Linked DNA regions of Stegostoma tigrinum. The protein of the gene in region 4 purifies or fractionates together with the protein of the main gene of each other region. This does not show direct contact. Links are inferred from orthologs where the notes say so. Each region holds a gene or a part of one and is shown on either strand. Other genes may lie near its edges.

Region 1 (7,514 bases), on a different chromosome or scaffold from region 4:
TTGTCTTTTTGTAGCCAGTTGGTGTTCATGTACTCTTGTTGTTAGTTTCCTTCCTGTTTGCCCGATGTAGTGTTTCTCGCAGGCTCTGCAGGGGATCTTGTAGATGTCCTGTCCATGGCGGGGAGTGGGACCCTAGTTCGGGTGAGCAGTTTCCGAAGGGTTGACGTGGGCTCGTGTGTCACTCTGATGCCCAGCGGTCATAGGAGTCTTGCGGTGAGTTCCGACGTGTTCCTGCTGTAGGATAGTGTGATGTGTGTGTCGGGAAGTGTAGTATCTTTCCGGATATCCAGTTTTTCAGAAAGATACTACATGTATCTTTCATCAAGAAACATGAACTGATGTGAATGCGTTGAATAAACCTAAGATAGCTGTTAAATTTTTAATCACTTAGAAATGACGAATACACAAAATCCCAGAATTTATTTCAAGTCACTGTCCCAAGATAACTAAAGGTTTTATCAGTATACCAGAGGTGACTTCTCAAGTCAGACAATGCATTTTAGATGCGAGGCTTCGTTTAGAATCTGGCTGTTTATTAACTTGGAGTCAGATTGGTTTTATTTCCAAAGTAGGAATTTATAAAATTCCACACTGACTGTCTACAAATTGTGTGCTTTTTGAACGGAACAGAATGTATCTGCAATTACAAACCTGCAAATGCAAATTCACCCCATTGATATAGGTGCGTGTGTGTGCGCGCATGCTTGAGAGAGAGAGAGCGTCTATAAGCCTTGCCAAAGACGTTATTAAAGTCCACACAGGCAATGTCTACCGCTCTGCCCTCAATTATCTTGTTCATCTCCTCTTCCAAAAAACTCAACAAAGTTTGTGCGATATGATTTCCTGTGCACAAAGCCATGTCAACAATCCTGACTAGTCATGGCGAAGGGTTTTGGCCTGAAACATTTACTTCCCTGCTCCTTGGATGCTGTCTGACTTGCTGCGCTTTTCCAGCTCTACATTTATTAACTTTCCAGTCTTCTAGGACCTCAACTGTGGCTATCAATGATATAAGCATCTCTGCTAGGGGCCCCACAATTTCCTCCCTATTTTCCCTCAATGTCCTGAGATACATTTGGTCAGGTCCAGGGGATTTATCTACCTTTATGTGTTTTAAGACCTTCTCTTCTGTAATGTGGACTCTTTTCAAGATATCACCATTTATTTCCCTGAATTCTTGAGCTCGATGTCTTTCTCCATAGCAAATACCGTGGCGAAATATTTGTTCAGTGTCTCAACCATCCCCTGTAGTTCAACACTTAGACAGCTTCATTGATCTTTAAAAGGCCCTATTCTCTCCCTAGTTACTCTTTTGTTCTTAATACACTTGTAGAATCTTGTTGGGTTCCCCTTAGCCTTACCTGCCAAATCTACCTTAGGTCTCCCCTTCCCCTCCTGTTTTCACCCCCTGTACTCCTGAAGGGATTCATTTGATCTCAGTTGCCTATACCTGGCATGTGTCTCCTTTTTTTCCTTGACTAGAGCATCAACATCTCTAGAAATCCAGCATATCCTATACTTGCCTATCACATCACACGAATATGCTGTCCCTGACTCTGGGTATCTCACCTTTTAAAGTTTCCCACTTGCAAGACATCCTTTTACCTGTACATAGCCTCCCCAATCAATTTTTGAAAGTTGCTGTCTAACACCATCAAAACTGGCTTCAGTTCATCAAGACTGCTTCCCCAAAAATATACTAGCTGTGCTAATTAAAAAACAAAAGAACTGTCAATGTTGTAAATCAGAAATAAAAACAGAAATTGCTGAATAAGCTCAGCACGTCTGGCAACATTGTTGATCTTTTAAGGGCCCTAGTTACTCATTTGCCCTTAATACACTTGTAGAATTTCTTTGGCCCTTAATATACTGTTCTGAGGAAGGGTGTTTTTTCATTCATGGGATAAGGGCATCACTGACCAAGCAACATTCATTGCCCATCCCTAATTGCCTTGAGGGTAGTTCAGAGTCAACCACACTGCTGTGGGTCTAGAGTCACATGTAAGCCAGACCAGGTAAAGATGGCAGTTTCCTTCCCTAAAGGACATTAGCAAACCAGATGGATTTTTTCAACAATCAATGATGAATTCACGGGCATCATTAGAGTCTTAATTCTGGATATTCATTGAATTCAAATTCCACCATCTACTGTGGTGGAATTCGAACCTGGGTTTCTCAAACATTTCTGGGTCTCTGGATTATCAGTATAGTGCTAATACCACTGGGCCATTGCCTCCCCAGGGTCACCAAAGTTAACGAAACATTAACTCTGATTTCTCTTCGCAGATGCTGCCAGGCCTGCAGAGGTTTTCCAGTAATTTCTGTTTTTGTTACTAGTTATGCTATCCACCTGCCTGCACTCATAACCTTGAAAATTATGACATTTCAAGTGCTCATCCAAGTACTTTGTTGCTGCACCCCACTACCTTCCCAGGCAATACATTCCAGACCTCCACTCTCCTCTGGGTTTTTCCTCAAATCCTAAGCCTCTTGCCTTTCAGTTTAAAATTATCCCTCTTGTTATTGAGCACTTTGGGTCTAGTGATCATAATTCCATTAGTTTGAAAATGTTCATGGAACAGGACAAGCCTTCCACAAAAGTTGAAGATTTTAGTTGGATCAGGGTAAATATTTCTAATGTTTTGGAGGAAATCTGTAGCTCGTGTTGTGGGTGTTAAGGTTGGTTGGCTCGCTGAGCTGGTTTGTTGTTGCAAAACAACAAACCAGCTCAGTGAGCCAACCAACCTCAAAGGCAAATATTAACAGTATGAGACAAGAACTTTCAAAAGTTAATTGGAGTAGACTGTTTGCAGGGAAAGGAACGTTTGACAAGTGGGAGGCTATCAAAAGTGACATAACCAGGGTTCTGCAGCATTATGTTCCTGTCAGAGAGAAACGTAAGGCTGGTAGGGAAAAATGAATGAACAAACATATTGAGGTTCTAGTCATGAATAAAAAAGAATCAGGGGCATTCTTAAGAGTGATATCAGGAAAGCAAAGAGATGTGAGACCGGCTAGGCAGACAAGGTTAAGAATAGTCCAAAGAGATTCTACAAGGACATTAAGAATAAGACAGCAACTAGGGAGAGAGAAGTCCCTTAAAGACCCAAGAGTCGTCTTTGTGTTAAATCTCATGAGATGGGAGTGATATTAAATGAATATTTCGCATTAGTTTTTGCCATGGATAAAGAAATGGTCGCTAGAGAAAGCAGGGAAATAAATATTGATGTTTTGAAAACTGTTCACTTTACAGAAGAGGATGTGCTGGAGAGCTTATAAACGTAAAGGTGGATAAATCTCGTGGACCTGATCTTGCGTATCCCACCATGAGATACGACCAATTCTCACTTGTCTCAATACACGCGGACAACCCATCCATAACTGCACAAGCCAAACAGAGACACGCCAGGGAATTGGAGGCCTGGTATTCTAACTGGAACTCCATCAACAAACACATTGAATTAGACCCCTTGTACAAAAAACAGAGATACAGACCTGAAAGTGGTACCAAACATCCCAACAAATGGAGGCATATAAATAACAAGCGGAATTGAACACCAACGCTTCACCAGAGGCACACTAACAATCTTACCTCACAGAGTGACGAAATGTCTGCAAACAAACCCACCAGCTTGGCAAGCAAGTCTATAACCTCAAGCTAGTCACCAGTCTGATTCAGAAATATATTACTATTCCTTCAATTTGTCTGGGTCAAAATCATACAGTCCCAAGGATCAGTGGGATGAGAACAAAAACAGAAGTTCCTGAGAAAGCTCAGCAGGTCTGGCAGCATCTGAGAGGAAGAAAATCGGAGTTAACGTTTCGGGTCCAGTGACCCCTCCTTCACCGGATCTGAAACGTTAACTCTGATTTTTCACAGATGCTGCTAGTTCTGCTCAGCTTTTGCAGCAACGTCTGTTTTTGTTACTGAGTTACAGCATCTGCAGCTCTTTCGGTTTTTATTCAGTGGGATGAAAAGCTGAGGTTGGATTTTATTCCTGGAATTTGGAAAGAGATGAGAAGAAACGTTTTCTCTTCAAAGGTTTTAAACCTCGGTAATTTTCTAACCAGTTTAACCAGAAGTGTATACACCAGGTGTAGATGGAGCATCAGCTGTGATCTTACTGAAAGACAAGCTGAACGGCCTACCGCGTTACTATTTCTCATGTTTCACAAACACATCTGACCCTACCTTCTCCTTTATTCATCTTCTATCCACCTCCCCGTCTCCCTATTTATTTCAGAATTCCCTTCCCCTCCCCCATTTCTGAAGAAGAGTCTCGACCCGAAACGTAAAACTTTCCTGCTCCTCTGATGCTGCTTGGCCCGCCGTGTTCATCCAGCTTCACACCGTGTTATCTCTAATCAATGTCTCCCACTTCATTTCCAACGTCCAAAGTAACCCTGTGCGCACGGGGCACTATGGGAGTGAGAGCACGGGCGGGGCCGCGGGGCACTGTGGGAGTGAGGGCAGGGGCGGGGCCGCGGGGCACTGTGGGAGTAAGGGCAGTAGCCAAGGCGCAGGTTGGTGTGGGGGTGAGGGTCATCATGGTGAAGCTGACGGCGGAGCTTGTTGAATTAGCAGCTCAGTACACGAACCCGGTCCGAGATCGGGAGCTTGATCTTCGGGGTAAGAGAGTGTCGGAGAAATTTGGCTGATCGTCGAGCTATGCCCGTATCTAGCCGTGGGCCCAGAGGCAGTCTGGGGCAGGACTTCCAAAGCGCGGTTCGTCCTCCCCTCCCCCCGCACCCTCCCTGGTTCTTCTCACCCGCCTTGCCCATCAGCCTCCCCACCCCCCCTCCCTTCACCCTCCCCCCCCCCCCTCCCTTCCCCCTTCCCCCTCCCCCCCCCCTCCCTTCCCCCTCCCCCCCCCCTCCCTTCCCCCTCCCCCCCCCCTCCCTTCCCCCTCCCCCCCCCCTCCCTTCCCCCTCCCCCCCCCTCCCCCCCCCTCCCCCCCCCCCCTCCCCCCCCCTCCCTCCCCCTCCTTCCCCCTCCCCCCCTCCCCCCTCCCCCCCCCTCCCCCCCCCTCCCCCCTCCCCCCCCCTCCCACCCCTTCCCCCTCCTTCCCCCCCACTCCCCCCCCTCCCCCCCCCTCCCCCCCCCTTCCCCCCTCCTTCCCCCCCACTCCCCCCCCCTCCCCCCCCCTCCCCCCCCCTCCCCCCCCCTCCCCCCTCCTCCCCCCACTCCCCCCCCACTCCCCCCCCACTCCCCCCCCCTCCCCCCCCCTCCCCCCCCCTCCCCCCCCCTCCCCCTCCTTCCCCTCCTTCCCCCCACCTCCCCTCCTCCCCCCCCCCTCCCCCCCTCCCCCCCCCTCCCCCCCTCCCCCCTCCCCCCCTCCCCCCCCTCCCTCCCCTCCCTCCCCCCCCTCCCTCCCCTCCCTCCCCCCCCCTCCCTCCCCTCCCTCCCCCCCCTCCCCTCCCTCCCCCCCCTCCTCCCCCCTCCCTCCCCCCCCTCCTCCCCCCTCCCTCCCTCCCTCTCCTCCCCCCCCCCTCCCTCCCCCCCCCCCCTCCCTCCCCCCCCCCTCCCCCCCCCCCTCCCTCCCCCCCCCCCTCCCTCCCCCCCCCCTCCCTCCCCCCCCCCCTCCCTCCCTCCCCCCCCTCCCTCCCTCCCCCCCCCCCCCCCCCCCCCCCCCCCCTCCCCCCCCGCCCCCTCCCCCCCCGCCCCCTCCCCCCCGCCCCCTCCCCCCCCGCCCCCTCCCCCCCCCCCCTCCTCCCCCCCCCCCCTCCCCCCCCCCCCCCTCCCCCCCGCCCCCTCCCCCCCCCCCCTCCTCCCCCCCCCGCCCCCTCCCCCCCGCCCCCTCCCCCCCCCCCCCTCCTCCCCCCCCCCCCCTCCTCCCCCCTCCCTCCCCCCCCCCTCCCTCCTCCCCCTCCCTCCTCCCCCCCACCCTCCACCCCCCCCCCCTCCCCCCTCCCCCCCCCACCCCCCTCCCCCCCCCCACCCCCACCCCCCCCTCACCCCCTCCCCCCCCTCACCCCCTCCCCCCCCTCTCCCCCTCCCCCCCCTCTCCCCCTCTCCCCTCCCCCCCCTCTCCCCCTCCCCTCCTCTCCCCCTCACCCACCTCCCCCCCCTTCCCCCCCCCCCCCCCTCCTCCCCCACCCCCTCCCCCTCCCCCCCCACCCCCCCCCCCCCCCTCCCCCTCCCCCTCCCCCACCCCCTCCCCCTCCCCCTCCCCCCCCCCCCCCCCCCCCCTCCCCCCCCCTCCCCCCTCCCCCTCCCCCCCCCTCCCCCACCCCCCCCCCTCCCCTCCCCCCCCCTCCCCCTTCCCCCCCACCCCCTTCCCCCCCCCCCCTCCCCCCCTCCCCCTTCCCCCCCTCCCCCTTCCCCCCCTCCCCTCCCCCCCCCCCCATCCCCCCCCCCCCCCCACCCCCCCCCCCCCCCCCACCCCCCCCCCCCCATCCCCCCTCCCCCCCCCCTTCCCCCCTCTCCCCCCCCCTTCCCCCCTCTCCCCCCCTTCCCCCCCTCCCCCCCCCTCCCCCCCCCCCCCCACCCCCCACCCCCCCCCCCACCCCCCACCCCCCCCCCCCCTCCCCCCCCCCCCCCCCCTTCCCCCCACCCCCCCCCTTCCCCCCACCCCTCCCCCTTCCCCCCTCCCCCACCCCACCCCCCCCCCCCCCCCTCCCCCACCCCCCCCCTCCCCCCCCCCCCTCCCCCCCCCCCCCATCCCCCCCCACCCCCCCACTCCCTCTCCCCCCCCCCCCCTTCCCCCCCCACCCCCCCCTCCCCTCCCCCCCTCCCCCCCCTCCCCCTTCCCCCCTCCCTCCCCCCCTCCCCCCCTCCCCCCCCCTTCCCCCCTCACCCCCCCCTTCCCCCCCCCCCCCCCCTCCCCCCTCCCCCCCCCCCTTCCCCCCTCCCCCCCCCCCTCCCCCCTCCCCCCCCCCCTCCCCCCTCCCCCCCCCCCCCTCCCCCCCCTCCCCCCCTCCCCCCCTCCCCCCCCTCCCTCCCCCCCTCCCCCCCTCCCCCTCCCCCCCCCTCCCCCCCTCCCCCCTCACCCCCCCCTTCCCCCTCCCCCCCCCCTTCCCCCCCCCCCCCTCCCCCCCCCCCTCCCCCCTCCCCCCCCCCTTCCCCCCACCCCCCCCCTCCCCCCTCTCCCCCCCCTTCCCCCCTCCTCCCCCCCCCTCCCCCCTCTCCCCCCCCCCCCTTCCCCCCTCCCCCCCCCCCTTCCCCCCTCCCCCCCCCCCATCCCCCCCTCTCCCCCCCCCCCCTCCCCCCCTCCCCCCCCCTTCCCCCCCCCCCCCCCTTCCCCCCCCACCCCCCCTTCCCCCCCTCCCCCCCCCTCCCACCCCCCCCCTCCTTCCCCCCCCCCCCCCCCCCCCCCTCCCCCCCCCCCCTCCACCACCCCCCCCACCATCCCTCCACCCCCCCCCCCCACCCCCCCCCCTTCCCCCCCCACCCTTCCCCCCCCCCCCCCCCCCCACCCTTCCCCCCCCCCCTTCCCCCCCCCTCCCTTCCCTTCCCCCCCCCCTCCCTTCCCCCCTCCCTTCCCCCCCCCTCCCTTCCCCCCCCTCCCTCCCCC
Region 2 (8,004 bases), on a different chromosome or scaffold from region 4:
GGGATTTCAGTTCTAATCTTTTGGCTTATTCACATTCTTTGCTTTCTATCTCTCTTCTGGTTTGGGATAAAGTGTTAACCAAAATGCACTTTCACAGCCACACTATCTTCCTCAGTGTCTGCCTCTGGTTCCACGTTACCCCTCACAAATTCCAATCGTTCTTCCCACTCTTCATTTTAACCCAACCAGGATTACAGGCATTTCCGAGACAGACAACGCTCCTCAGGTATATTTCTGAAAAAGGGTGCCAACCCGAAACATCAAATTTCCTGCTACTCTGATGCAGCCTGGCCTGCTGTGTTCCTCTAGCTCCACACTTTGTTATCTCCTCAAATATATGCCCCTCGCTGCATTCTGCAGTCCTGAAGGCTCGGCATGGTGGCTCAGAGGTTAGCATTGCTACCTTACAGTGCCAGGGATCCAGGTTCAATTCTAGTTTTAGGTGACCAGCTCTGTGGAATCTGCACATTTGCCCCATGCCTGCATGGGTTTCCTCTTGCTGTTCTGGTTTCCTGCCACAGTCTGAAAATATGCAGATTAGGTGAATTGGCCATACTAAAATGCCTTGTACTATCCAGGATGTGCAAGATAGGTGAATCCTCTGTCTCTGGGGAGAGGGTACTGGGTGGGATGGTCTTCAGAGGGTCAGTGCAGACTTGATGGGTCAAATGGAGTCATTGGGATTCTGTAATCCACACACAATGCGGTGTGCTGTCACATGCAAACTTGACCTCTGTCTCCATTAGCACTGACTCACCATCTCCCAGCTGTCCCAGGCTCCAGTCCGTTTCATGCTTCTCCTCATGTGAAACTTTAACAGGAAACTACCTGCCTTTCAATTGCCAAGGAAGAATGCCGAAGAATTCATACCAGATGAAACATTAACTCTCTTTCTCTCTCCACAGACGCTGCTGAACTGGAGTTTCTCAAGCATTCTCCATACTTGTCTTGACATTATCACTTGCTGTATTCTTTATAGAATACTCCTGATGGTGTATGCCCAGGCACAGAAATTTCCTGTTCAGATCTCTGTATATTGCCCATTCTGTATCAGAAGGTTTTGATCAGTAGAAAAAATGAGCCAATTTGAGTTCTGGAGAATTCAGGTAGATAGGGCACTGGTATTTGGATTGCAATTCCACAAAGCTGTCAACAGATTATCACCTTGAAGTATTAAGAAAGTTAATTGTTTCTATTTCGGATGCTGCCTGACCCAGGTTTTTCAAATATTGTGTGTTTTTAATCAACCTCTCCAATAGAATGAGAGATCTAATTGAGGTATATACGACACTTAAGGTAACTGATGAAGAAGATCAAAAGTAGTTTACTCGTGTGAGACAATGTACAACAATGAGTTTTAAGGAGTAGCAGAATTAAAAGAGATAAGAAGAATTACTTCTCACAACGAGTCATGAATCTGTGGAATTCATTATCTAAGACTGCAGTGAACTGTCAAGCTTCACTGATTTCCATTTGAATGTGTCTGGTTTTATACAATTTCTACAATTTATAAATACTCATTATCTAAGCATATTCCTTCAACAAACGAATCCCTAAAAATTTACAGGAGTTTCAAAAGTATGTATTAAAATGGGTAAAACCTGATCCTGAAACGCTGAGTGGGTAATCTATCTTGGCCTCCTTCTGAGGTGCCCAGCATTACAGATACCAAACTTCAGCCAATTCAACTCACTTCATACGACAGCAAGAAATGGTTGAAGGCCTTGGATACAGTCAAGGTTTTGGGCCTTGAGAATATGACAGCAATAGAATTCTGAACATTTGGCTGCTGAACTTGCCGCATACCTAGTCAAGTTGTTCCAGCACAGGTACAACTTTGACATCTACCCAATGTAGAAAATTGCCCAGATATTTCCTATCTACAAAAGTAAATCAGAAAAATCCGGAAACGTCAGCTTTTGTGCTCCTGAGATGCTGCTTGGCCTGCTGTGTTCATCCAGCCTCACATTTTATTATCTCAGAAAAATCCAAGTTGGCCAATTACTGCACTGAAAGTTTATTCTCAAATTCATTAGAATAATACCATATGGGAAACTGGTAAAAAACGTAAAAACTCATGGGATTCAAGTTAACTTGGCAAGTTGGATCTAGAATTACTGAAGTGACAGGAGACACAGTATGGTAGTGCAACACTGTTTGTGAGATTGGGACCCAGTAGCATACGACAGGGATGTGCTGTGTCCCTCATTGTATGTGATATTCATAAGTGACAAAAATGAGAATGTGGGGTGGATAAGAAGTTACGGATGACATAAAGATTGTGTGGTTGACTGAGGAGAAAGGCGTTAGGTTGCAGGAGAATATAAACAGATTGATCAGAAGGGCAGATAAGTGGCATATGGAATTTAATCCTGATAAATAGGAGGGATTACACTTTGGAAGAAGGAACAAGACAAGTATCCTCAATGAAAGGCAAGACACTAAGAAGCTCAGAGGAACAGATCTTAGCGTGCCTGCCCAAAGATACCTGACGGCGGACTAATATGCAGCATTACCTTCTCTGTCGTAGCCGAAGCTCAGCAGACTGAGGTCACAGTTACGGGTTTGACTGGTGTGCTTTGGAGCGCCCCATTCGACTACAGCTTCCTCGTTGCCACTGTCTGCTGAAGCTGAGCTGGGGCTGGCGGACTGGGCCCTGGCTAAGCCACAGGTTGGTGGAGCGAGTATGACTGCAGCCCTGGTCCTAGCTCCGGGCTGAAGCTGCTCCTGATCATCCTCCTCGCTGGACTCACTCCTCCTGCGGCGGAAATTCCGCTTCGGATTCTTTCCGAACATTCTAAAGACAATTACAGACAGAACACGGCACCCCGCAACGTTCGCGGAACGGACCGGAAAGGAGAGGGAATCTTCCACTTATTGATTGTAAGGGGGGGGTGTGAAGTATGACAAGGAATAAACATTTATCGCAAAGATTCCAGTTTAAGTTTCAATACCAACACAATACGTAAGTGAAGGCTAGAAATGCACGAGCAGTACTATCCTTTTTCCCATCAAAAGATAAACGACGTCCTGTTTTTAAAATCTCACCAAACATCAACCCCTATTAGATTCTGGGTTTGCTTGATATTTGTATCGAAAAGACTGGACGGAGTTCTTTTAAGAACTGTGGAGGGTGATTCAGAGATAACATAGCGAGGAGCTGGAGTAGAAAAGTGGGCCTTTTTCAGGAGGCCAAGCAGCATCTCAGGAGCACAAAAGCTGACGTTTCGGGCTTAGACCCTTCATCAGAAGGGTCGGACCCGAAACGTCAACTTTCCTGTTCCTCTGATGCCGCCTGGCCCGCTGTGCTCCTCCAGCTCCACATTGTGTTATATCTATGGAGCTGCAGTCGGCCAGGCAGCATCAGAGGAGCAGGAAAGCTGACTTGAGATCAGAGATAATAAAATGTGAGGCTGGATGAACACAGCAGGCCAAGCAGCATCTCAGGAGCACAAAAGCTGACGTTTCGGGCCTAGACCCTTCATCAGAGAGGGGGATGGGGGGAGGGAACTGGAATAAATAGGGAGAGAGGGGGAGGCGGACCGAAGATGGAGAGTAAAGAAGATAGGTGGAGAGGGTGTAGGTGGGGAGGTAGGGAGGGGATAGGTCAGTCCAGGGAAGACGGACAGGTCAAGGAGGTGGGATGAGGTTAGTAGGTAGCTGGGGGTGCGGCTTGGGGTGGGAGGAAGGGATGGGTGAGAGGAAGAACCGGTTCGGGAGGCAGAGACAGGTTGGACTGGTTTTGGGATGCAGTGGGTGGGGGGGAAGAGCTGGGCTGGTTGTGTGGTGCAGTGGGGGGAGGGGATGAACTGGGCTGGTTGAGGGATGCAGTGGGGGAAGGGGAGATTTTGAAACTGGTGAAGTCCACATTGATACCATATGGCTGCAGGGTTCCCAGGCGGAATATGAGTTGCTGTTCCTGCAACCTTCGGGTGGCATCATTGTGGCAGTGCAGGAGGCCCATGATGGACATGTCATCAAGAGAATGGGAGGGGGAGTGGAAATGGTTTGCGACTGGGAGGTGCAGTTGTTTGTTGCGAACTGAGCGGAGGTGTTCTGCAAAGCGGTCCCCAAGCCTCCGCTTGGTTTCCCCAATGTAGAGAAAGCCGCACCGGGTACAGTGGATGCAGTATACCACATTGGCAGATGTGCAGGTGAACCTCTGCTTAATGTGGAATGTCATCTTGGGGCCTGGGATGGGGGTGAGGGAGGAGGTGTGGGGACAAGTGTAGCATTTCCTGCGGTTGCAGGGGAAGGTGCCGGGTGTGGTGGGGTTGGAGGGCAGTGTGGAGCGAACAAGGGAGTCACGGAGAGAGTGGTCTCTCCGGAAAGCAGACAGGGGTGGGGATGGAAAAATGTCTTGGGTGGTGGGGTCGGATTGTAAATGGCGGAAGTGTCGGAGGATAATGCGTTGTATCCGGAGGTTGGTAGGGTGGTGTGTGAGAACGAGGGGGATCCTCTTGGGGCGGTTGTGGCGGGGGCGGGGTGTGAGGGATGTGTCGCGGGAAATGCGGGAGACGCGGTCAAGGGCGTTCTCAATCACCGTGGGGGGGAAGTTGCGGTCCTTAAAGAACTTGGACATCTGGGATGTGCGGGAGTGGAATGTCTTATCGTGGGAGCAGATGCGGCGGAGGCGGAGGAATTGGGAATAGGGGATCTCTTGATGACATGTCCATCATGGGCCTCCTGCACTGCCACAATGATGCCACCCGAAGGTTGCAGGAACAGCAACTCATATTCCGCCTGGGAACCCTGCAGCCATATGGTATCAATGTGGACTTCACCAGTTTCAAAATCTCCCCTTCCCCCACTGCATCCCTCAACCAGCCCAGTTCATCCCCTCCCCCCACTGCACCACACAACCAGCCCAGCTCTTCCCCCCCACCCACTGCATCCCAAAACCAGTCCAACCTGTCTCTGCCTCCCGAACCGGTTCTTCCTCTCACCCATCCCTTCCTCCCACCCCAAGCCGCACCCCCAGCTACCTACTAACCTCATCCCACCTCCTTGACCTGTCCGTCTTCCCTGGACTGACCTATCCCCTCCCTACCTCCCCACCTACACCCTCTCCACCTATCTTCTTTACTCTCCATCTTCGGTCCGCCTCCCCCTCTCTCCCTATTTATTCCAGTTCCCTCCCCCCATCCCCCTCTCTGATGAAGGGTCTAGGCCCGAAACGTCAGCTTTTGTGCTCCTGAGATGCTGCTTGGCCTGCTGTGTTCATCCAGCCTCACATTTTATTATCTTGGAATCTCCAGCATCTGCAGTTCCCATTATCTTTGAGATCAGAGATAATGGGAACTGCAGATGCTGGAGAATCCAAGATAACAAAGTGTGAAGCTGGATGAACCCAGCAGGCCAAGCAGCATCTCAGGAGCACAAAAGCTTAGACCCTTCATGGAGAGGGTTCTGAAATAAATAGGGAGAGGCGAACTGAAGATGGATGGTGGAGAGGAGAGTATATGTGGGGAGGGGATAGGTCAGTCCGGGGAGGACAGACACGTCAAGGAGGCGTGTTGAGGTTGGTAGGTGGGAAATGGAGGTGCAGCTTGAGGTCGGAGGAGGAGATAGGTGAGAAAAGAACAGGTTAGGGAGGCGGGGAAAAACTGGGCTGGTTTTGTTATGCCCTGGGGGGCGGGGACGAGCTGGGCTGGTTTTGGGATGCAGTGAGGGAGGGGGAGATTTTGAAGCTTGTGAAGTCCACATTGATACCATCGGGCTGCAGGGTTCCCAAGCGGAATATGAGTTGCTGTTCCTGCAACCTTCGGGTAGCATCATTGTGGCACTCCAAGATGGACATGTCATCTAAGGAATGGGAGGGGGAGTTAAAATGGTTCGTGACTGGGAGGTGCAGTTGTTTATTGCGAACCGAGTGGAAGTGTTCTGCAAAGCGGTCCTCAAGCCTCCGCTTGGTTTCCCCAATGTAGAGGAAGCCACACTGGGTACAGTGGATACAGTATACTACATTGGCAGATGTGCAGGTGAACATCTGCTTAATATGGAAAGTCGTCTTGGGGCCTGGGTTGGGAGTGGGGGAGGAGGTGTGGGGGCAAGTGTAGCACTTCCTGCGGTTGCAGGGGAAGGTGCCGGGTGTGGTTGGGTTGGAGGGGAGTGTGGAGCTGACAAGGGAGTCACGGAGAGAGTGGTCTCGCTGGAAGGCAGACAAGGGTGGGGTGGGAAAAATGTCTTTAGTGGTGGTATCGAATTGTAGGTGGCGGAAGTGTTGAAGGATGATGCGTTGTATCTGGAGGTTGGTGGGGTGTAATGTGAGGACAAGGGGGATTCTCTTAGGGCGGTTATTGAGGGGGCGGGGTGAGAGGGATGTGTTGCGGGAAGTGCGGGAGACACAGTTAAGGACGTTCTCGACCTCCGCGGGGGGGATGTTGTGGTCCTTGAAGAACATGGACATCTGGGATGTGCGGGAGTGGAATGCCTCATCCTGGGAGCAGATGCAGCGGAGGCGAAGGAATTGGGAATAGGGGATGGAATTTTTGCAGGAGGGTGGGTGGGAGGAGGTGTATTCTAGGTAGCTGTACTTTTCTGGTCCGGAATAACCAAGTGTGGAGCTGGATGAACACAGCAAGGCCAAGCAACATCTTGGATCCTTCTTCAAAAATGGAGGAGGGGAAGGGGACCCAAATACGTAAAGAGCGGCAGACGATGATAGAAGGTGGATAGTGGAGCGGATAGGTGGCAAAGAAGACAGACAGGTCAAGGAGGCAGAAATGAGAGCAGGGGCTGGTCCTGGGATGAGGTCAAGGGTAGCAAGTTTTTGAAGCTAGTAAAGTCCATAGGAGACCGTTGGGTTGTAGGGTTCCAAGGCAGAATATGAGGTCCTGTTCCTCCAGTTTCTGGGTGGAGTCGTTGTGACACTGGAGGAGAGAAATTAAAGAAAGCCTGTATAAAGCTAAGGTCCAGGGACTTTTTAGAGTAAGTCTTACAGATAAAGTATGCCCATCTTGAGATCAACTAGATTCTGTCTAGTCCAGGTCATTGCTGATGGAGTCAGCAATGGAGCATTACCTATAATTACTCGTAACATCAAGATTACTGAAACTATCCAAATCAGAAAGACCAACGTATCATGTACAACCTGTGAGTGAGTGCTGTTGTTCGCAATTCGATTAACTTCGTTAGACAAGGTTCTCCTGCTGGCAGGTAAATCTTGAATGGCTCCCTCCGGTGGTGAATACATCTGGAAATTGATGATTGGTGTGCAACGATAACCCATCGCTTTGCTTCATGCTTAATCAAGATTACCAGAAGATCAAAAGGCACTTGTTAATCAACACCAAAACAGATAGCACTAAAGTGGACTTATTAGGGCGACAGTGTGGAACCGGAGGAGCAGGAGTGTTGTTCTTTGGGCCCTTCTTCAGAAGTAGGGAGGGGGCAAGGGTGCTCACAAATAAATAGAGAGGAGGGGTGGGACTGGGGAAGGTAGGTGGAATGGTGATAGGTAAATGCCGGTAGGGAGTGGTGGGGATCGGTCAGTGAGGTGGGGGGGGGCAGATAGGTTGTGTCAGGTCAAGGAGAGGGAGGTTTGGTCATAGGATGAGGCAGAGGTGGATATTAAAACTGGTGAATTTCATGTTTAGGCCATCGGGCTGTTGGCTGGAGAGGCAGAATATGAGGTGCTGATCTTCCAGTTTGTGGGTTGCGACTTGGGACACAGGAGGAGGCCCAGGTTGGACATGTCTCCCAGGGCGTCGGAGTGAGACTTAAAATGGTTGGTGACCGGAAGGTGTTGTTTGTTGTGTACAGAGCACTGATGCTCTACAAAACGATCCCTGAGTCTACACTTGGTCTCACCAATGTAGAGGACGCCACATCGAGAGCAATGGATACCAAGTTGGAGGATATACAGGTGAACCCCTGTCAGGTATGAAAGGTTTGCTTTGGGCCTTGAATGGAGGTGAAGGGCGAGGTGTGGGGCAGGTGTAGCACTTCCTGTGGTTGCAGGGAAAGGTGCCAGGGTTGGTGGGGTTAGTGGGGAGTGTGGAG
Region 3 (7,324 bases), on a different chromosome or scaffold from region 4:
ATCTACAAATCGAACACATGCAGTTTTGAAAAGAAAACGTCACCTTAATTCCCGGTTTGGGAACAACTTTCTCCCACAAAAACACCACCCTAAAACGTAACGATAGGTTAGAAAAGGTCTAAAATAAGCCATCGCCACAAAAATACAGGGTGAAGAGAGATTCGAAACTCCAGCTGTAGCTCTCTGAGGCATTAAGTTCAAAGAGCTGCACGTATTCTAAATTGGTTGACTCCAACCAGAGCGATAAATGAGGCGTAATGGTGGTCTTGAGTACGAAAAGGAAAATACACCCGTCTCTACACTACTGCTTCTTATTTAATTTATCCCTGCTTGAAAAAAGAAGTCAGGTTGCAGACACAGCAGGATAACGCAACACGCTGGCTCTCAAAAGCTCACATGACAAATGGCCACCTGGGTGACAGAATGGAAGAAAGGCAATAGAGCAACATACAAACATGAAACAAATTCAGGCAAGATTAGTAAATGTCAGCTCGAAAGCTTGGGTTGGGAAACTGATTTGAATTGCCAGCTTTGTAACTGGTTAATAAATTGACACTCCATAAATACCAAACAGATTTCAAAGATCACATACCCAACTCCACCAGAAGGCAAGAGCAAGTATGCAACAAGGACACACAACCAAACATATACTCAAATAAAAAGCAAAAAATTTTAGTTACAAACCAAACTCGTGAGGAAACAATTATAGCCGCACAACAATAGGCATCTCAGTAAAACTCACTGCTTTGCAGATTCCAACATTATCTGTCAACATAAACAGGCCAGCCTCAAAAAAGCACTGATTAAGAAATGTGGCAATAAGTGTGTGCAGTTGGAGGAAGACAGCAGGCTGGACAGCATCAGCGGGGCAGGAAAGTTCACGTTTTGGGTCAGAACTCTTCTCCAGAAAATGAAGAAACGACCTTAAACGTCAACTTTCCGGCTCCTCGGCGGCTGCCTGACCTGCTGTGTTCTTCCAGCTCCACAACGTGTTATCTTTGACTTTGGCATCTGCAGTTATTACTATCTTTGGCTAAGAAACGTACTATGTCTACTTAGGGGATGCCAGTAGGTATTCAAAACTCTGGCTCATCTTGGTTAAATGTAAAAAATTCACTGCACGTGCAAAGAGGAAAGTTAGCTGCTACATTCTATCCTCTTTGAAAAATCAGACATCTTTAAGGATTCTGACCACAATTTTAATTAAATGCACACAAAGTTAACAGTTTTGAGAATTTAAAGTTAACACAATGCAAGCACAGATCTCACACTATAAACATGACAGTTAACACCATTACAAGTATCAAGGGGAATTCTGTATTTGGTACTGATTTTACATTTATCTCTCTACAAATCTATTCCAGCCACAACTAATCTGTATCAATAAAAGTTATTGATAATTTATATTAATATTATAATAATATCACTTCACTGCAAAAAATGCATAAATTCTGCCACATCTTCAACAGATCTATTGTTCTATTCTAACCTTCAAGTAGTGACATTGATGATGAGATCTAATATATTACTTGGTGACAGCTTTATTTGAGTAATAGGCACGGATCCCTGAAAGGTTAAAATAATGAGATGATCTAATTAAGAACTAGAATTCAGAAGTGCCTTGATAGGGGAGATGGGGAGACTGTATTTCTGCTGGCTGTAGAATCTGGAACACAAAGTCATTCTCAGAATGAAGAGAAATTTCTTCACTGAGGGCTAAGAATCTTTATAATCCTCTGCCCCAGAACTTGAATGCCAAGTTGCTGAGTGTATCCAACAAAAAAAATCAATAGATCGTTGGGTATCGCACAATGAACGGCAGAGGAGTCGTTAAGGACTGCAGATGCTGGAAGCCTGAGTCAATAAACATGGAGGCGGACAACACAGCAGGTCAGATAGCACCAGAAGAGCAAGAAAGTCAACATTTTGGGCTGAAAATCTTTGTCGAGACGGGGGAGGGGGCCCCAGAAGTAAATAGTGGGAAGTCGGGCTGCAGAAAGGTAGACAGGAGAGTCTGGCCTTGGGGCCAGCTCAGCATCCACAATACTAATCTCAAGTACCCTAATTCCAACAGCAGATCCATCAACCTAGAACTTTTTCCTTGGCAAACATCCCCAAATTCGAACTGAAAGAACTCTGTTGCAAATACAACCTAAATGTTGACCTCCTCTGTACCCCAGGGATCAACCACAGTCCAAGGACCATTTTCCCTCTCGTGTTATCTTCAACCAGCTGAACAGCAAGACACAGCAGAAACCGGATGAACATACGAACTCACAACCACCCTTCCCTAATTTAAAGGCTTGGACTGGGAAAAATAAGTGTAATAGATCCATTTTATGGCCACATTTAAGATGTGCATCTGGCAGATAATGGCTCACAATGGGCACCTGGTTAGCAGAAGCCACTTCCTAACATTTCGCAAATCCACGTGTTTCTCATTTTCTTCAGCAATGAGGATGCTAAGCACAAGAGGTGGACAAGTGAAGCCTATAAGTTGTATGAAGTTCGCAGTGAACCGAGGCTGCAGCTCCACTAATATTTCGCTCCCTAATTGTGCGTTGGCAGGTTTTGATCCAGTTATACCTCTCTTTTCAGATTTAACACGACTAGCTAGGTTGCGCATGGCAGCGACCAATGTACCAGAGGATGTTTTAAAAAGAAATTGCTGCCACCATCGGCAAACTGCAGGAGCTGCTTCAAGTTTATCTGCCCCTCCTTAAAGAGGCCTCACCGACTTCCCGCCTTCATGAAGCAGGACGGCCTGCACCCGCGCCTCTTTTAGGCCCGAAAGCCAGCCTGCCCACCGTGGCTCAAAAAACAACCACGGGAAACCATCGAAAGGCAATATTGGTAAAATCAGCACCGCCCGAGCTCCCGGAGTCAAAAAAATCGGCGCTACCTGCTGTAGGACGCAGGATGCCACCGATTTCCCGTCAGATTGCTGGCTCCATCCTCCTCAATGTCACCAACCCCGCTGCTCCCGGCCTGGGGTCCTTGCTGCCTGAATAGGTGGCCAACTCGGGGGCCTGTGCCCAGTTGTGCATGCGCAGTATGCCGCGAGAAAAGAATCGAATCAAACAACACCGGACCTCCGGCTCTGAAATATATATTTATTTAATAACCAATTTTACAAATACAGTTACAAGACAGATTGATGTATAACATATTTTCAGGCACTCGTTTAGACAATGCCCTAGAACGCTAAGTTGCCTACTCTACAACATAAGGACATGCAGCAAAGAAACATACCTTTGGTCTAACTTGACCAAGACGACCAGGTTTTCCAAACTACACTAGTGCCACTTGCCTGCATTTGGCCCACACACCTCTAAACCTTTCCTTTTCATGTACCTGTCCAAATGTGTTTTTAAATGTTGCAACGGTACCTGCATCTACCACTTTCAGTGGCAGTTCATTTTCACTGACAAACCACCTTATGTGTGGGGGGAAAAAAGTTGCCCCTCAGATCCCTTGTAAGTGCTTCTCCTCTCCTCTTAAAAACACGCCTCTAGTTTTTGATTCAGGACTGTCCTTACTGAAGGAAGGATATACCTGTCACTGGCAAATACAACAAATATTCATCGGATGATTCCTGGGATGATGGTATTGACCTGTGAGAAAAGATGGAGAGGAAAGGACCTGTAACCTCTAGAGTTTAGAAGAATGAAAGACGGTTTAATTGAAGCATTATACATTCTTACAGAGTTTGCAAAAGGAGATGCATCTGCAGCCAATGGACACAGATTCCGAACATAGGGGCAAGCAATTTAGAATTGAGATGGAGGAAGCTTTTTTTCACCCGAGCTGGTGAATCTCAGAAAGCTCAGTCATAGAGTCATACAGCACGGAAACAGATATTTCAGTCCAACCAGTTGATGCCAAACATAACCCGAAATTAAACTAGTCCCATCTGCCTGCTCCAGGCCTATTTCTCTCCAAAGCATTCTCATACATGTACTTATTCAAATGTCTTTTAAATGTTGTGATAGTACCCACAATCCACTACCTCCCCTGGAAGTTCATTCCACAGATAAACCACTCTCTGTGTAAAACATTTGCCTCGTCTTTTTAAAATCTCTTTTTCTTTACACCTTAAAAGTCATTAAGGATGTTCAAGACACAGTAAAATGGCACAGAGGTAAAAAAATCACCCATGATCCATTGAATAACAGAACAGGCTTAATGGACCCAATGGCTGATTTCTATGTTCCTAAAACAGAGGAAACAAGAGCTATCTGCTGAAATTGCATCCCTGCATGAGCCTGAGATAGCAGAAAAAGAAAAGAGGAAATTTATTTTGAAAGGGAATCATATGGATGGGGAAGGTTCATGCTGGTTATCGTGGGATAGTGGAGAAAGTCCATTTGTCAAGTTAAATCTTAGTTTTTACTGTGCGTGAAGGCTTAGTGGAATCAAAAGTGATTTATCCTTGTCTTATTAAAAGGGCTGCCCAACATAGAACTCGAAGGCATTCATCAGGATGCCTTCAAAGAAGCGTAGCATTGAGAAATGCAGTGAAAATGAGCCAACCCAGCACTTCTCTCCTAAACATCTAGTTTGCAGTGAAATAATAAAAATCTTGTGTTTCTTCACTGACTTTGGAGATGAAGTTTGGTATGGCGTTTGTTCATTACAGAACCAATGAGCTTGCTGACATTTCTTTTCAGCCTTAAGTTGGAGAAACCTAGAAACTAGGGGACAGGAAGGCATTCAGCCCCTCAAGCCTGCTCCAACGTTCAACGTGATCATGGCTGATCCTCTGTCACAATTCCATCATCTTGATTTCCACCCAAACCTCTTGATGCCATTAAAATAAATTAAAAAAAACTCTTTCTTGAATGTGTTCAGTGATTTGACCTCCACAGCCTTTTATGGTAGAGAATTTCACAGGCTCACCATTTTTATCCTTAGTTTATGCCCTCTGGTTCTGACTGTCTAACCAAGGATCCAATCCGTTCAGCCCAGTTTTAATTGTATACAATTTAATCAGGTCATCTTGTATCCTTCCAAACTCTGGTGAATTAAAACCCCAGTTGAACCACTCTCTCTTCATATGGCAATCCCTGATGTCAGCCTAGTAAACCTCATCCTATAGCAAGTATAAACCTTTTTAGGCTGGGAGACCAAATCTACATACAAAACTGCAGGCATGATTTTACCAATGGTCTGTATAACTGCAGTTGGACATCCTGCTTCTGAATTCAAATCCTCTTGCATTGTACCATTTTCCTTTCTACTCACTATTGCAGCTGCCTGTCTACATTCATCAACCGATATACGAGGACACCCAGATCCCTTTGTACACACACTTCCCAATATATCACCACCAAAATCTCTTTCTTTCTGTTTTTCACAAGTGTAAAACTTCATAATGAGCCACATTGTACTACACCTGCTATGTATTTGCCAATTCATTCAATATGTCTAAATCACAGTGAAGTCTCCATCTTCTTCCTCACAAACCACAATCCAGCCCAGTTTTATGTCATTAGCAAATTTGGGAATTTGCATTTGGGAATGTTCTCAGTCATTCAACATGCTGTAGATAGCTGATCAAGCATCAATGCTTGCAGTACACCACTAGTTACTGCCTGCCGCTTGGAAAAATACCCCTTTATTTTCACTCTGTTTCTTATCTGTCAGCCAATTCTCAATCCACATCAATAAATTACCCCTATCCAATGTGCTTTAATTTTGGCCATTAACCCCTTAAGAGGGACCTTATAAAAAATTCACAGAAAATACAAATGCATCACATCAATTGGTTCTCCCTTTATATAAAATAATTTTAAAACACTCACAACCAGTTTCCCTAATAACTATTTGAGTGGACATACATTCTGGTTTTCAATAAATGGTTTAATGTCTCCTTAAAGTAGCAGAGGAATTAATTTAAAGATATATATGTTCCTGAATCTGTTGATTATAATTGCACTCTAAATTAGAATTCCCTCCCTGACAGCACTGTGGAAGCACTTGCACCACATAGGCTGCAGTGGTTCAATACTTAAAATGTTTCATATTAAACCATCAAAGTTGTTAAAAACATTTGTGGTCTTTACTACAACAGTACATTAGTTTTTCTTACACCAAATACTTCAACAGAACTCTTTAACTTTTCATTGGGAAAAAATGTGCAAAACCACATTGGTCTGGCCTTGCAAATTTTTTTACAGTCGTAGCGGATAATAATTAGGAACTGTTTTCCCTACATTGAAAAGGCTTGTGGTGTAATCAGTTTCGTTTGAGGAAGAAACACTCTTGACATTTTGCTGTAAAACTGTCCATCACTGAAGCAGTTTAAAATGTTTGGTGTTCAAGTTTTGTGTCAACAAATTGCTTCTTTCTTGAGCAAAAACAGAAAGTGTTGGAGAAACACAGCAGATCTGGCAGCATCTGTAGAAAGAATAACATTGTTAATTTTCCGAGTCCAGTAACCCTTCTTTCTTGAGTCTAAGTTTGAATGGTGGGATATCACTTGATTGATTTCCTGAAACTTTTCATTAAAATTTGGTAAATCTTCATTTTTAACACAGTGATTTACAAAGCTAGGTTATAGAAAATAATCATGGTATTTTATAACCAACTCACCTACTGTTGCCATGCAAATCCCTCAGGTGCTATTCCCGTCCTATCCTTCCCACCCGAACTCTCCGCTCCACCGAAGATAAAGTTGTTGTTGGGCTTCCACTAATTTCATTTTGATTCCTCCATCACCTCTCCCTCTGCTGCTGCAATCATGGACAACCACACATGCATCATGCACACCAGCCTTCCATGCACCCGCCAAATCAAGACACCAACAGTCACACCCCATAAACTGACTAATAGTGCGAGCCTGGAGATCAAAAAACATAAGTACCGTGGATTGTACCAATCTTATAAACAATTGTGTTTACCAAGGTGGTCAGCTCTGGGTTAAGCATTGCCTTGTGTAGCTTAGAAACTTCACTCTAGTATGGCAGTTTATGTTGCATTTGCTGCAGACAAAAACGTGGGGTCAAAAATGCACAATTCCCTGGCCTCTAGTTTCTCAGGGTGCTCTTCCTAACCAGTTCAATTCTGTTCACTTATAGAACATAGAACATAGAACATTACAGCACAGTACAGGCCCTTCGGCCCTCGATGTTGTGCCGACCTGTCATATCGCTCTCAAGCCCATCTAACCTACACTATTCCATGTACGTCCAAATGCTTATCCAATGACGACTTAAATGTACCTAAAGTTGGTGAATCTACTACCATTGCAGGCAAAGCGTTCCATTCCCTTACTACTCTCTCACTAAAGAAACTACCTCTGACATCTGTCCTATATCTTTCA
Region 4 (7,548 bases):
TCAGTTTTCAAATTACATTTTACAAGCTTGCACCTATACCTCTCGGGCCTGCAGTCATCATCTCATTTGAAATCAGCATGGATTAAACTTTTCCATCCTGCTTGGTAGCCTGCAAAACCTACAAGTCCCAGATATTAATTGTCAAAGTTTTCCAAACCTCTTTTTAATTCAAATCATGACACTAGACATCCAGCTTTCTATCTGCTTCTTTGAGGGTTTTGATTTTTCTTTCTTGCTGTTAACAGTAAAAACCAAACAGAGGATTTGAAAGCATATTCTATTAGTTTAGTAATGAGACTCTATTTGTCTTGAGCACTTAATTAAGAACAGTTCCAGCATCACCTTCAGCTATTCCAACATTATTCACAAACCACATTTTTTTTCCTGTTCCAACGTACACATATCGAATGCAGATTATAGTTTTACAGCTATAGAGATGATGCAAAGAAAGATCAACTCTAAGCTGGAAAGGGCTCAGAATAGATTTACCAGGATGTTGCTGCAAATGGAAGGTTTGAGTTACGGGGACAGACTGGGGCTTTTCCCACTGGAGCAAGAGGAGTAGTGAACACAGTTATAAAGATGGTTAAATGGAATCAGAGACTAGCCTAGAACACTTGTTTTACAAACTAAAGACACATATAATGGGGTTTTCAACAGGCCATTATGATGATGACTGTTTTTGTTCCATATTAATGACATGTGTTTGAGGCATTATAGCAAAACTTGCAGATGACACAGAAGTATTAAGTATTCTGAACCGTGAGGACGATGTAAAGAACGCGAACAGGCTACTAGATTGAGCTAACGCTTCAACAAAATTTACTACACAGGTGGCTGAAGTCATATATTTTGGTAGGAAGAATAAGGACAGGCACTGAAATACAGTACAATTGTAAAGAAAGTACAAGCCTTGGGGACACGCACAAATTATTGAATGTGCTCAGGCATGTTAGGAATACTGTTGATAAGGCATTTGGGATCTTGGGTTGTACAAAGAGGGAGAGACAAAATATAAGAGTAAGGAAGTCATCACTCGGCTTTAAAAAAATACTAATTCAACCTCAACTGAGTACTGTGTTCAATTCTGGCCCACATTTTAGGAAAAATGTGAGGGTATTTGAGACTGTACAGAAAAAGACAGAACTCCAGGGTAAAGGGTCAAGTGGGTAAATTAAAGAAATGGGCTGTTCTCCTGAGAAGATTATGAGGTGATCAAAATCACAGTAAACCTGCAAAGTAAATTGGGATTTTTTTTATTTTCATTGTTAGAGGGGTCAAAATCAGAAGACATCCAGAGTACTGCAAGGGATCAACAAAAGAACTAAAAGTTCATGAACAGAAACCTTATATGGATCAAGAAATGCAATGGATGCAAATGTGGTGGAGCTTGGCTTTGGATTGCTCATCTGACTCATGGATACTGACTTTCAAATGGATAATTACATGAACAGACCAGATATGGGCTGGACTGAAAACAGGACTAAGTGAATTATTCTCAGGTAGAGTAGCCTCCTGTATTGGAACTAACCTACGTGTCCATGCTTAAACCATAGTTTAACCTACAAATTGCCAGTGGACAGTCAATGTGCGATAAATGAGCAACATTGGGCAAGACATCATTTGCACCGGTGGAGCCATACTGCTTCTACTTTCGGGAAAGTAGGGGAAGAAAACAGGAACGAAATTACACGTTCATGGGACGTTAAATGTGTTTTAGTAGTGGTTAGATTGCCAAAAAAGGCCTAGCTAGGAACCCCAGTGGCTCCCACCCCTCTCTCCACCCCCATCCCCGCGAAGGGGTGGGGGGGGGTCGCACTTTTCCGCTGATTAAATAAATTTTTAAAACACCAATAAGCCTTATCTCCCTCATCAATATATTTCCCCACTGTTCCCAAACCTTAATCTCTGAAAAGAGGACAACTGACATTCTTTCTGCGCCTCTTCTAGAGACGTTCAGGACGAACCTACATAAGGAAAATAACTTCGAAAAGATACCGTTAGTAAACGTGCAGAAAGCTTATTCCCGCCATAGCACTGGGCATGGCAAAACGACGGAGAAAACTTCAACAGTACATGTCTTCCCCTCTACCCCGAGGTATTCGGTATAAATTCCCAAAACCCGGGTGCGGCCTCGGAAACGTGGCCCAGCCATGTGCAGAAACAGGCGTAGGGCAGCGCCAATGTCTTGTTGAGGCTCCATATATTACAGGATCGAACGGAAGGCGCTGTCCTGCCAAGAACGGCCGGAAACCTTGCAAGATACAGCGGCGGCAAAACAAAAAACAGATTACCTGAAACGAGACATGAGCAGGAAAGTTGCAGGCCGGCGGCACCAAGTCGCGGAGGTGGCGGGAGGTAATGGACAAACCCGCAGGCCCTCGGCCTCTCACGCACAGTCACTCTCGGTAACTAACGCGCTTTCTCCGCAAGAGGCAGAGCGGAACCGCGGCGAGCCGCAGCCGCCCCTTCCGCTCGGCTAAGCCGGGCGGGACGCTGAGGGAGCGCCGCTTGACCCCACCGACAAGGCCGCTGTCTCGGCAAACCAGCCGAGGCCCTAGCGCTCAGAGCCGCTGTTCAGATGCAGCCAGCCTCCCGCCGGCGTCCCACTCTGCGGATTAACCTACCCGTCCGAGGTGGCGCGCTTCTTACTGGACGAGTAATCGTCCCCCAAGTCGACGCGGTGCCGCTTTGACATGTCTCCGCGTTCTAGAGCGGTCCGGGTGCGTTCCGATTCTGTCTCTCCGTTCGATCCCCTTCTGTTCCGGGTTCCGTCCCGATTGTTGCAGAAGCTCATGCGCAGGCAGCACCTCCTCTGATCACCTTGCACCTGTCTCCCTTACCTCTCTCGATATCCCTATCTACTTTCTTCACTTCCCGCTCCCCACTACAGCCCAGTGTTTAATGTATAAGACGAGCAGCCTCCAGCAACAGGCCCCGACGCAATGCCGGGCTTCTTCCCAACACTTCCACAAGATGGCGGCTCCCAGACCGAGACGTACCTCGTTCTGGCACGGTTACGCCGCGGAACCGCAGCAAGATGTTTTAACATTTTATTATTGAATGATCCTTGCGGTTTTAGTTTCATATAGCTTCTGTCAGATGTTATAAACTGTCCTGAGTTGTGTGAAGTCAACACAAAATGTACCGTTTCTGGGAGTAAGATTTGAAATCTACCTCATTTCCTGTCCTAAACACAAGCACGGTTATTTTCCCGTTGTTTCAATAATTGATAGACCTGAATTGAAACCGGTTACGAGATGACCTTTGTAAGTTTTTAAAAGCAGTCTATAACATTCTTTCCTCGATGCAGACGGAACAACAGAACAGCCATAGTCACAATCTTCAACTGAACTGCCGGTCATGGTTCTTCAATATTTGTGAGCAACCACATAACAGAGAGCTTTCAAAATTCACTTGGACAATGACAATGTAACTACTTCATGTTCAGTTCAAAGATAAATAACTTTTGATCATGCATATTTCAATTATTATTATCCTATGGGATGCAGGCTAGCAAAGTCTGTTAACTGTATAAACGCAGTTGGACTGAGTGGCTTGGTAGGCCATTTCAGACGGCAGTTAAATGGCAATCATTGTTGTGGATCCAGAGTCTCATGTAGACCAGACCAGAATGGCAGATTTTCTTCGCCAAAAAGGTTATAGTGAATAAGATGAGCTTTCACAGTCTATGACAGATTCGAGGTCACCACCAGTGAGACCAGTTTTCAATTGCAGATTTTATTAATTTGAATGTTAAATTCCATTAGCTGCTTTGGTCGGTTTTGAATCACTGTCCTTAGAATATTAACCTCAACCTCCTGGGTTACAAAGTCCAATGACATTACTATCACATCCACTATTGGGAAATGGATAGGTGGCTCTCTGTTACCAGAGTCTCTTGAATTGTATGTTGTCTCCGTGGTGCCAGGATCAGGGATGTCTCCGAGCAGCTATCAGGGCATTCTGAAGGAGAAGGGTGAACAGCCAACAGTCACGCCTCTTGTCAGTGCCAATGACTTGGGGAACAAAAGAACAAAAGAAATGAGGTCCTGGAACAGGAATTTAGAGAATTAGGTATAAGATTAAAGAGGAAGTTATAAGTTATAATCTCTGGATCACTTCGAGTGCCCTGTGCTATTTAGTATAAGACTCGAAAGATATGTCAGATGAATGTGTTGCTAAAGGGATGGTGTAGCAGGGAGCACTTTAAATTTTTGGATCATTGGGACAGCTTCTTGAGTAGGTGGTTACATCTACACTGGAATGGGTCCAACAACCTTGCTGCGAAATTTGTTCATGTTGTTGGGGAGGCTTTAAACTAATTTGATAGGGCAGGGGACAAGATGGATATAAAATCTGAAGCAAGTTCCAATCAGAAATAGAAGGAATGCTAGAATTGTCCATTAGGCAGAGGAGACATAGACAGGTTAAAGCACAAGAGGCCAAGAAAGCTAAATTGTATCTGTCTTAATGTAAGGATCTTGACTGATAAGGCAGATGAACTTAGAGCACTGATCAGCATGTGGGATATGATATTGTTGCAACCACCAAGACATGGTTGGAGGAAGGACCAGACTGGCAGCTCAACTTTCCAGGCCATAGAAGTTTCAGGCACAACAGTGAAAGATATTAGAGGTGGGGGCATGGCATTATCAATAAAAGAAACTACCTCTGCAGTAATGAAGGAAGATGTTGTAAAGAGGCCTTCAAATGAGCCCATCTGGACAGAGTTTAGAAATGAGAAAAGGGTTATTACTTTGCTGAGATTATACTACTGGCCTCCCAACTGTCCGAGGGAGATAGAAGAACAGAGGTGTGAGAGAAACAGGGTTACACTTGAAGGGAATTTCTGAAATTATTAGTCATCTTTGATTTTGACCTTTGCTGAAGTACGTTGAGATAATTTGTATTCATGGATTCTCATGTACTCTGGTCACTTACCATTTTCCACAGTACTTGTGTTCTGAAGAATTAGGTGTGTGCAAGATTATTGGCTTTATGTTGTCCTCGGGAATGAAGCCGGTCAAGTGGTTGAAGAGTTCATGGGTGATTGTTTTGGAGATGGTGACAATAATTCTGAGTTTAAAAGTCACTATGGAAAGGGATAAGGATAATACAGAAATTGAGCATCAAAACCAAGGGAAGGCCAATTTCAATAGTGTTAGTCTGGATCTGGCAAACATAGGCTGGAAGCAACTAGTTGCAATAAGTCTACATTTGGAAAGTGAGTCTTTTAAAAGCAGTACAGTGAGGATTCAGGACCAGCATGTTCTTCTAAGAGTGAGGGATCAAGGCAGCAAGTCCAGTGAACCCTGGCTGTCTAGGGGAGTGGGATGGGAATGGCCTAATGGTATTATCGCTATACTTTTAATCCAGGGACCCAGGTTCAAATCCCACCATGGCAAATGGTGGAATTTGAATTCAATAAAAATCTGGAATTAGGAGTCTAATGATGACCATGAATCCATTGTTGATTGTCAAGGAAAAATCCCATCTGGTTCACTGATGTTCTTGAGGGAGGGGAAACTGCTATCCTCATCTGACCTGGCTGACACGTGACTCCAAAACCACACCAATATTAACTGTTAACTACCCTCTGGGCAATTAGGGATTAGCAATAATGTTGATCCAGCCAGCAACACCCACATCCCATGAATGAATGTATTAAAAAAAGGATGTTCAGAGTTGAATAAAGAGAAAGAAGGAGGCCACATCAGGAACAAGGCAGTAAAAACAGGGGAAGCCCCTCAAAGGTATACAGAGCATAGGGGTAATAAGAACTGCCGAAGCTCAAGTCTGAGATAACAGTGTGGAGCTAGAGGAACACAGCAGACCAGGCAGCGTCAGAGGAGCAGGGAAGCTGACATTTCAGGTCGGGACCCTTCTTCAGAAATCTCCATTTCCTAAGAAAGGTCTAGGCCCAAAACGTCAGCTTTCCTGCTCCTCTGATGCTGCCTGGCCTGCTGTGAACTTCCAGCTCCACAGAGTGTAGGGAGTTGCTTAAAAAGTAAGTAGGAGGGCAAAGAGGGACCTTAGCCAGATAGTATTGTGGAAACCACTGATGCAATTTATAATTATGTTAAAAGTAAGAGAATTAGCAGGGAAAGAGTGGGGTCTATTAGAGACCAAAGGAGCAATCTGTGTTTACAGGCAGAGGGGAAAGACATTGTAGACGGTGATTTTAGCTGGGACATTGAGAACGTTAAGAATAATGAGGAGTATTACATGTTTTAGGAGGCATGAAGGCGCAAAATTCCAGGGGCCTGATTAGATGTATCCCAGGCTGCTATGGGCAACAATGGAAGGGAGCGCTAGAGCCCTGGCAGAGATATTTAATACTTTGCTGGCCACAGATGAAGTGCCAGATGTCTGGAAGATAGTTTTTGTGGTTCCTTTGTACAAGAAAAGCAGAGATAGGCCAGTTAATTACAAACCCAGTAGTCTGATGTACATATTAGGGAAATGATTGGAAAAAGCTCCGAGAGACAGGATTACACTTGTAGAGGCAGCGATTGATTAGGAATAGTCAACATGGATTGTTAGAGGAAAATCTTGTCTGACTAATGTGATTGATGTGGAGGTACCACTGTTGGACTGCGGTGGACAAGGTCAAAAGTCACATGACATCAGGTTATAGTCCAGCAAATCTGTTTGAAATCACAAGCTTTTTAAGCGCTGCTCCTTCATCAGGTGATGTGAAGAGAGCACCCAGGCACAGACTTTATAATCAGAAAGGTCAAAAGATCACTTGGTTTGTCTCCAGCACCACCTTATTTTTAAGTTTTTGAAATGATCTCTCTGTCTCAAGTAATCTGATTGGAGGTCATCCCTTCACTTGTTATTCAGCCTCTCGACACTCCAGTCACACCATTTGTCTAATCTTTTAATCTCTATAATCAGTCCTGAAGAAGGGTGATACCCGGCATGTTGACTGCTCCTTTCCTCCAGATGCTGCCTGGTCTGCTGTGTTCTTCCAGCCTCCTGTTTGACAGCCTTGGATTCCAGCACTTGCAGTTTTTTTTTTGTCTCTAGGGGATGATGTTGTGAGGGTTACTTTTGTAACTGGAAACCTGTGACCAGCGGTGTACGCGGGGTTTGGTCCTGGGATCTTTGCTGTGTTTTACATACATTAACAACTTAAATGTAAACGGGAAGATATAACTAGTGAGATCATAGATGATATGAAAATTGGTACTGTTGTTGATAGTGAGGATGACTGACTCGGGGTACAGTCTGATTTTTGTGCTGCTGTTAAACTGGACAAAGTAATAGCAGATTAAATTTAATTCTGATAAGTGCAAGGTGATACATTTTAGGAAGGACATACACAATGAGTGACAAATCCCTAGGGAGTCCTCAGGATCAAAGGAACCTTGGTGCATAAGTCCATTGTTCCTTGAAGGTGACAGGACAGGCAGATAGGGTGGTGAAGAAGGCATATAGGATGTGTGCCTTCATTAGCTAGGGCTAGAATATAGTAGCTAGGAAGTCATATTCTAACTTTATAAAGTGATTGGTTTGGCCAAGATGGAATACTGTGTACAG

What was found.
Region 1: the proteins of dhx15 (region 4) and snrpa1 fractionate together in Homo sapiens (co-fractionation; 3 studies listed by BioGRID and IntAct, with this or other methods). This does not show direct contact. The link is inferred for Stegostoma tigrinum from reciprocal best matches to the Homo sapiens genes DHX15 and SNRPA1.
Region 2: the proteins of dhx15 (region 4) and gcfc2 purify together in Homo sapiens (co-immunoprecipitation; 3 studies listed by BioGRID and IntAct, with this or other methods). This does not show direct contact. The link is inferred for Stegostoma tigrinum from reciprocal best matches to the Homo sapiens genes DHX15 and GCFC2.
Region 3: the proteins of dhx15 (region 4) and sf3b3 purify together in Homo sapiens (co-immunoprecipitation; 4 studies listed by BioGRID and IntAct, with this or other methods). This does not show direct contact. The link is inferred for Stegostoma tigrinum from reciprocal best matches to the Homo sapiens genes DHX15 and SF3B3.

The regions. Positions count from the first base shown.
Region 1 is NC_081386.1:1,212,436-1,219,949, forward strand, and holds the start of snrpa1 (U2 small nuclear ribonucleoprotein A'), read left to right. Parts: upstream 1-4,500; 5' UTR 4,501-4,548; coding exon 4,549-4,630; intron 4,631-7,514. UniProt on the Homo sapiens protein: Involved in pre-mRNA splicing as component of the spliceosome. Associated with sn-RNP U2, where it contributes to the binding of stem loop IV of U2 snRNA.
Region 2 is NC_081357.1:74,078,130-74,086,133, forward strand, and holds the start of gcfc2 (GC-rich sequence DNA-binding factor 2), read right to left. Parts: upstream 3,008-8,004; 5' UTR 2,797-3,007; coding exon 2,517-2,796; intron 1-2,516.
Region 3 is NC_081369.1:5,608,086-5,615,409, reverse strand, and holds the start of sf3b3 (splicing factor 3B subunit 3), read right to left. Parts: upstream 3,012-7,324; 5' UTR 2,903-3,011; intron 1-2,902. UniProt on the Homo sapiens protein: Component of the 17S U2 SnRNP complex of the spliceosome, a large ribonucleoprotein complex that removes introns from transcribed pre-mRNAs.
Region 4 is NC_081354.1:88,290,742-88,298,289, forward strand, and holds the start of dhx15 (pre-mRNA-splicing factor ATP-dependent RNA helicase DHX15), read right to left. Parts: upstream 3,012-7,548; 5' UTR 2,798-3,011; coding exon 2,628-2,797; intron 2,597-2,627; exon of another isoform or gene 2,309-2,596; coding exon of another isoform or gene 2,295-2,308; exon of another isoform or gene 2,291-2,294; intron 1-2,290.